Caenorhabditis elegans: one gene and its partner. The protein of the gene in region 1 purifies or fractionates together with the protein of each later gene. This does not show direct contact. Each region holds a gene or a part of one and is shown in the gene's direction. Other genes may lie near its edges.

Evidence for each region.
Region 2: the proteins of tgn-38 (region 1) and F14E5.2 fractionate together in Caenorhabditis elegans (co-fractionation; one large-scale study listed by BioGRID). This does not show direct contact.

What each region holds. Positions count from the first base shown.
Region 1 is NC_003282.8:12,027,466-12,031,219, reverse strand, and holds the start of tgn-38 (Trans-Golgi network integral membrane protein 2), read left to right. Parts: upstream 1-2,045; 5' UTR 2,046-2,055; coding exon 2,056-2,319; intron 2,320-2,747; coding exon 2,748-3,224; intron 3,225-3,730; coding exon 3,731-3,754. Other genes in the region: T12G3.6 (RWD domain-containing protein), read left to right, coding at 1-73, 333-594, 652-756, 803-964; T12G3.11 (uncharacterized protein), read left to right, coding at 1,448-1,516.
Region 2 is NC_003280.10:8,426,829-8,430,582, reverse strand, and holds the start of F14E5.2 (Golgi apparatus protein 1 homolog), read left to right. Parts: upstream 1-1,727; 5' UTR 1,728-1,744; coding exon 1,745-1,793; intron 1,794-1,839; coding exon 1,840-1,928; intron 1,929-1,974; coding exon 1,975-2,269; intron 2,270-2,337; coding exon 2,338-2,657; intron 2,658-2,707; coding exon 2,708-2,794; intron 2,795-3,003; coding exon 3,004-3,704; intron 3,705-3,752; coding exon 3,753-3,754. Other genes in the region: acp-2 (ACid Phosphatase family), read left to right, coding at 98-331, 383-532.

The sequences.
Region 1 (3,754 bases):
TAGTGATCTACCATTTGAAAAGTGCGGGAATTTTTGTTTTCGAGGAGTTAGATTGCGATGACATTGCGCAAACGTGAGTAATTTTGTACAATTTTTTTTCTCCTGCGTGTATTTTGTTTAATTTTTTGCTTGCATAATCTCAAAATGCGCACAAATTAACGAATTTCGTAATGAAAATTCTTAAAAATGTCGAAAAAAGGCTAACCTTAGCTGAAATCTTCAATTTTGCCTACTTTCCGGTTTGTATTTTTGAGAATTAGACGCATGTTGAGTCAATACAAGCAAAAAACGTTAGTCCTTCTTCAATTGTTTAGTAAATTGAGAAATTTCAGACCGCTCCTAATAATGGCTCCTTCTGTTCCCCTCCACGTAAGACTTGAAAGGACTCCGACGATCAATTTGTTGAAATGTCACGAAAAACCACTAACTGAGGATCAATTGTTCCTTCTTCTTTCCAAATGCCAACAACACACAAAGAAATGCATGCCATCAGAAGAAGAGATCGACCAGTGGGTAGAAGTGTCTTCGTCAAAACCACGCGAACAGTCCTCAAATCGGGGATCGAAAAAGGATTCGTGGAATCACAGTATTTTTGTGAGTCTGATTTAAAATATTTATAACAACTATTTAAATATCAAAATATTCTTTTAGATGTATAATTTCTTCCACCGAAGAGGGAGCAACAAGAGAGCGGCCAAATATCTCGAAAAAATCGAAAACGGGAAGAGCGAGAAAATTCGAGCTCGTGTCTCACAGGTACTTTTAAAATTGAATTACGAAAAATTAGTTTCAAATTTTACAGATTCGTAACCTTGATCTCGGATACATCTCACTCCCTATGGAAACAATTAATCTGGAAGATGCGAAGCAAAGAGACAAGCTCAAGGAAAAGGCTCTAGCCGAGACTGCTGAATCGAAGAAAGGAAAAGACATTTTAAACTTGTTCACCAACGTCTATTATTAGATATCGAATGGAAACAAACGGCTGAAATTAATAATTCAAAATAATAACTCTCAACTCATTTTTTGTAATTTAAGCCTTAAATTTGCATGGTTTTTATTGTACCATTGCCTTACCTATTCGGTGATATCGACACTATTATTGTTACTAAAGTGAATTAAAAAATTATATCGGTTTAAAGATTTCAGTACAAATAAAAGCGGGACAAATAGAAAAAAACCAACAAAAAAAATTAACAGAAAACTTGTCCGCGAGGAGTACACAAGATTGCGTACCAATGCACAACCGACACCAGATATTACGACAATTTGTCATTTTTACATTTTTATTGGTTTTCAGTGGTTTTTTGCTGATACAAGTTGGTTTTCTTACATTTTTTGACTTTTAGTCTAATTAAAATGTCAATAATTCAGTTTCTGCAATATATTTTCTCACTTTAATTTGTTTCGAAATAGTTTGAATCAACATTTTCCCAGGAATCAAAACATGCCACGTTCTCTACTTTACGTTTCTGTTTGTTTGTCGACATTGCATGATGTGCTAAACCTCCACTGATATTGAATTTTTTCGCAATATTAATTCTAGAAATATTTGAGCTGTGTAGACATTTATGAATGAATACTTATCTATGATCAAAATCAAAACCACAATTCAAATACTTTCCAAATTGTAGTTTTCAATTGCAACAATTTTTTTTCGAGATTAACATGATCTGTTTCCGACGGATTAACTCAACTGTTTCATTGATTTTTACGAGCGAAAGCGCACTTCTCTTTCCAATATGCCACTTCAGGCAAATGTAAACATTTTTGAAACACATGTCTTTGAGAAGAAAACGATGGATAATCGTGAACTTTCAATGTTTTTTTTTCTAGTTCTCCGTTCGTACTACCGACCGTTATTGCCTTCTCATCGTAGAGTAACTGACCTCATTCGGTCACAACTATTCTCTCATGTTCTCTGAGACACCTAATTGCTGCTATTTTAGTATTGAGGTTTTTCTGGAGTCTCTCCGTGTTCTACTATTTTTTTTGTTCAGATATTAGTTTTTAATACCTTTTTTCAAAAAATTGCATGTTTACAGCTTTTCTCTCATGAAATTACGACTCTTCGTCGTGGTTCTACTATTCTTGGCAACATCAGCTGCTGCACAAGAAAAACCAGAAGACGATGTAAATCCTGAAGATGTGGATGATGTGAGACCTCCAATTGATGAAAACGAAAATGAAAAAGAAGGAAAATCATCTGAAAAAAGCACAACACCTCCAACTTTGACACTTCTCAGTTCAACAGCAAATCTCACAATTGCACCAGATCAAGTAGCTCCGATTCCAGTTGCTACAAATGCAACAATTATTGTAAGAAATACAATTTAAAAATGCTTTGGGTTTTTCTTAAATAGACTAAACTGGCCCGAAACGATCGAATTTCATGATGAGATTAAAAAAACATTTTCTAAATTTTCATGACGGGTTTGAATTTCAAAAAAAAACCCACATTTTGTTAAAATCATTAGTTTTTTTCCTTGTCGAGGCTGTTGGAATACAGTTGTTATTGAATCACCATGTTTCTTATTGCCGAAATATGAAATAAAGAATGATAATAATAAAAAAATTAACCTCCAACAGTTGTGTCATGGAAAAGTTGGCGAAACTTAAGACTTTAGCAAATTTGGTTTTTTGTTTGAAATTGTGACACACGATAAAAATTTTTGGAAGTTTTTGAGATATCTAAAGCAAGCCCTCCCTATAAATTTCAGTTACATTCAGTTTTTATAATTTTTCAGGAGTCGAAAACTGAAAACGAGAAGAAAGAAGAATTACTGACTGGAAAAGAAGAAACACCTCCAGCAAAAACTGATGTGATTCAAGAAGCAACGACTGTTGTTGTAGAAACAATTGCCCCTTTTGCACAGAAAGCACCAAAAGAAGTAGAAGATGCGAAAGAAGAGGAAAAAGAAAATGCAGCTCCAGAATTTGAACCAAAACAAGAAGTGGAAGGTGGAAAAGGGGAAGAAGATCCAGATGCGAACGTTGACAAACCAGCTGTGGTAGATCCTCCAAAAGATGAAGCTGATGGTGCAGCCAAAGAGGATCGAGAGACTCCTGCAGTTGGAGCAGAAGGATTACATGAAGCAGTTGAAGAAGCCAGAGGAAATCCCGCTCCAGGTGTACCTGTTGCTGAGAAAAAGAAAGATTCAGCTGATGAGGAGCAGACACTGGAAGCTGGTCCCGTCGCTCGACCACATAGGCATGATTCATCTGTAAGTGATTAAAACTTTGAAATAAGAAGTAGAGAAAAGTTACTTTCCGAAAGAATTTTAAAGTTATATTCAAACAGTTGACAATTTTTGAATTAATTGACATTCTCAATTTGGTCTTTTTTCAGAAGTATTTTTTCAAAAAAAAAACAAACTTCAATAATTCTAGCAATTCTAAAAAATGAGCCAGTGTAGCATGCTATGCTAATATTTTTTAAAAATTAAAATTTAATGATACATAAAATTAAAAAATTTGCTTTAGTTGAAAGTAGTTGTTATTTTAATTAAAAATGCGCAATATCTGTCTGAAAGCTGAAAATTACCGAAAAATCTGGCAATGTTTCTAAATTTTTTAAATGAAATTTTCAACTTTCGGGCAATTTTTTGACTACTTTCTCAATTGTTCCAACTGAAATAAAAACTATTTTCAGAGAAAGTAAAAGTTTTTATTTATTCTGCCACACTGTCATATTTTGTAAAAACCCAAAGTATAATTGTTTCCATTTCAGAACGAATTCCAATCATTTCCACGT
Region 2 (3,754 bases), on another chromosome or scaffold:
TAAAACACCATTGGTGTCTCTTTTTTCGAGTTTCTAGAGTTATTTCCAAGTTCAAAATCAGTATTTGCTGATTAATCCTAATAATAAAATATTTCAGCAAGACTGGATTCTAATGGGAGTGCTCGATTCATTGAATGTGTTGGAACAAACTGTTGGACTCGACAAATATCCCGAATACAACTCAATGATCATATTTGAAACGTGGAAGGATAATGGAAAATATTTTGTGAAAGTTTTCTATAAAAAAGAAGAGATCACTGCCGAGGATCATGAGCTAATAGATGTCACCAAATTTGTGAGAAACTGTAAAAGAGAACGATGTTTGGCACAGGTTTGTTTTGAACTTTTGTTTTCTCATTCATACATTAAAAATGTATTTCAGGATTTCCTCGACTGCTGCGATGATTATCGAAACAAAGGTGAAGCTGAGAGTTGTGAAGCATCTGATTTAAAGATTCGAACCACGAGAAGCTCTCCACCTAATAATATTAGAAGAGATCTTCATGTATCGGAATTCTCTGGTCCAGAATAATCAATTAGTTGATACTGTTTCTTTCTGTAAATACATGCGAATGAAGTGAATCGATTGATATTTATATTCCATTTAAATGAAGGTTCCGCGTGAAATACTCAAGTATAAATTGTGGTTTCGATGGAAAAAGGACCTAGCTTTGCATATTGAACTTCCGTAGCCTAACAACCAAAAAAGTTTCTCTTCGTTTTTTTTTTCGTCCGATTAATTCGTCATCTCCACTTAACCGACTATACGACGAATGGGCATCGGTCTATTCGTCGAGATCCTCCTTCTCTTGATGCCGTAAGTTTTCTCTGTCGGACTGCAGAAGACAAAACAAGTCTCTTCACCTTCCTGAGCGCATTGTTCTCTTCTATTTCTCGTCCTCTCTCCTTTTATGCCTAGTTTACCGATCGGCCTGTTCTGTTCGATAATATTATCTCAAAAATATTGTTTCGGGTGGACGGAGGGCGTTTTGTTTTTAACAATATAGCCACGTGGCCCGGTTGTAATTTCTCGGCAAATCATTAGTTTTTCTAGCGTATTTTTTCCTACCTAAATTTGTGAGAATTAGCATCAAAAATGGACATTATTTATTTTGAAAAGTTTAATTATTATTCCCCAAATGCGAAATTTTGTGCTAAGAATACGGTATTCAAATCAATCAATAAAAGTCCGCAAAAACACACATTCGAAACTACAGTACTGTTTAAAGGGGCATGCCCTTTTGCATTTAACAAAAACTGTCGTGCCGAGACCGGGTACTGTAGTTTTGACGCAAAAATTACGAAATTTTTTTGTTCTCAGTTTTCAAGTTCAGGCAAAGTTAGTTGAATTCTCAAAAAATAATATTTAATTACAGAGGCATAGTATTTTCATTAAATAAGATGACGTGTCAGGTTTTCTGACAATAGTTTGCGCGTTGTTTAGTGCGCATTGTGTGCAAACACCACTGGTCCGCAAGTTTCCGTGCCCAGGTTCCAACGGATTTCTATTTGTTTTCCAGGATCCGTTTTCTATTTTTTCAAGTCTTTTTCTCTATCTTCTATATTTTCCGACAAAAAAGAGGGTTTCTGTGTGCACACTTGTCCACTTTTCACCACATTTTTATATACCTAATTGTTGTCGTTTCAATTAAAATTCGACATTTTTCTCAAATGACGTCACTTTCAGAATGTTTTTCTATTTGCACACGTTGAAAATTTATTTTCAGGGTCCTGAACCTGAAATATGTGGAGGTTTCCACTGATACTCGCGTCGGTTTGTTGGCTGACAACAGGTATGTCAGGAATATTCAATTGATTCAAAATAAATTCAAATTTCAGCTCAACAACAAAACGTAGCGAACGATCCAGATAAGAAGTTGGCCAGTTTCGATGCATGCAAAGCAGATATTCATAAACATTGTAGCCGAGTGAGTTTGACATTAAAGCTATTGATAGGCAAATAAAATATTTCAGCCTGATGTAGATCTAACAAGCGACATGTCGATTCTTGAATGCCTTCAAGATGCCGGATTTTCTGAGACAGCGACTCTATCCGAACAGTGTGAGCAACTTGTCTGGGATTTCAAGGTCAAAATAACACAAGACGAGCGTTTCGTATCCGCGGCCAAACAATATTGCGAGGAAGAGTTGAAGGGAAATGCTGCAATGAATCTTTGTACATCTCAAACTCAACCTGGATTTGCTCTCAGTTGTCTCATGGAATTCACAAAAAATGTTACTGAGACTGGAAAATGCCACGCATTTTTAGGTGAGTATTGTAATTTTAAAAACACAAAATTTCATCAAAATACATTTAAATTTCTCTTCGTTTTGAAGCCAGAACAGAGAGACTAGCTTTCTCGGATTTCCGTCTCGTTGGTCCATTCGTAACAAAATGCCGTGCTATTCTCGATAAATTCAAATGCAACGTCCTTACTCCTGATCCAGCACACAAAGGTGTTCGTGTCGCACATACGCAAGGAATGGCTTTGGAATGTATTTTGGATAAAGTTGTGAAAAATGCAAAGACTCAAGCAGATGCATTGCAAATACTTGGAGATGATTGTAAACATGAAGTTCTCCGACTTGCAGAGATGCAGGCTGATGATTTCCATTTAGACAGACCGCTCTTCTTTGCTTGCAGATTAGACAGAGAGGTAAGTTTTTAGGAGTTTGAATTTTATAAATGAGCAAAACATTTTTTCAGAGATACTGTAAAGATGTTCCATCTGGCGAAGGAAAGGTTTTCGAATGTCTCATGATGAATAGAAATGATAAATTCATGGATCCAGAGGTGAGATTTTATCAGAATATTTTAGTTTTTCCGAAAATTCTCATGTGTTTATTTACACAGGTGCAGTTTTTTTTGACTATTGAATTCTTGAAAATGCAAAAATTACAATCCTTAGATTCCGTAATCCATTTATTTATACAACTGGATCGCATATTTTCAAGAAAAAAGAAAAAAAACGACTCAAAATTATACATTAATAAAATTTTCAGTGTGGAAATTTGCTTGCCGAGAGAGCATATCTTATGGGAAGAGATTACCGTATGGCTCATCCACTCACAAAAGCTTGTCAACCAGAATTGACCAGATACAAGTGTGAACCACAGAACCAAATTGAATCAGCCGCTCATTTCCATCTGGCATGGATCCTTTTGTGTCTTGAAAATGGAGCAAATCAACCAGAACACAAGGAAGTTCAACCATCAAAAGAATGTGCTCATGAAATGATTACTCATCGTCAAATGATGATGCAGCACTTCCGAATGGCTCCAGAGCTTGTACTCAACTGTGCACAAGAAATTGATAAATGGTGTAGTCCACGTGGAGATATCGAGGCCGAAGGAAGAACATTGCACTGTTTGATGGAGCATGCTGAATCCAGAAATGAAACATTAAAACTGGGAGCTCAATGTCTTCAAGCTGTTCAACAAGTCGTTAAAGTTGCAGATATCGGAAGAAACTATAAAGTCGACAAAGTTCTGTATGGATCGTGCAGAAGTCTTATTGATGGTCCTTGTGCCCAAGACGCAGTTTCAGAAACTGCTACTTTAACATGCCTCATGAGAAATGTGGATAGTCCTGATATGGTTCCTGAATGTGAAAAACGTCTGCTCGAAGTTCAATATTTCATGGCTAGAGATTGGACAATGGATCCACAATTATATGAAGCTTGTCATCAAGAAGCCGTGAGCAGGTACGTTCATTTAATAATAGCTTGATTTAAAAAAACTTAAAATTTCAGAT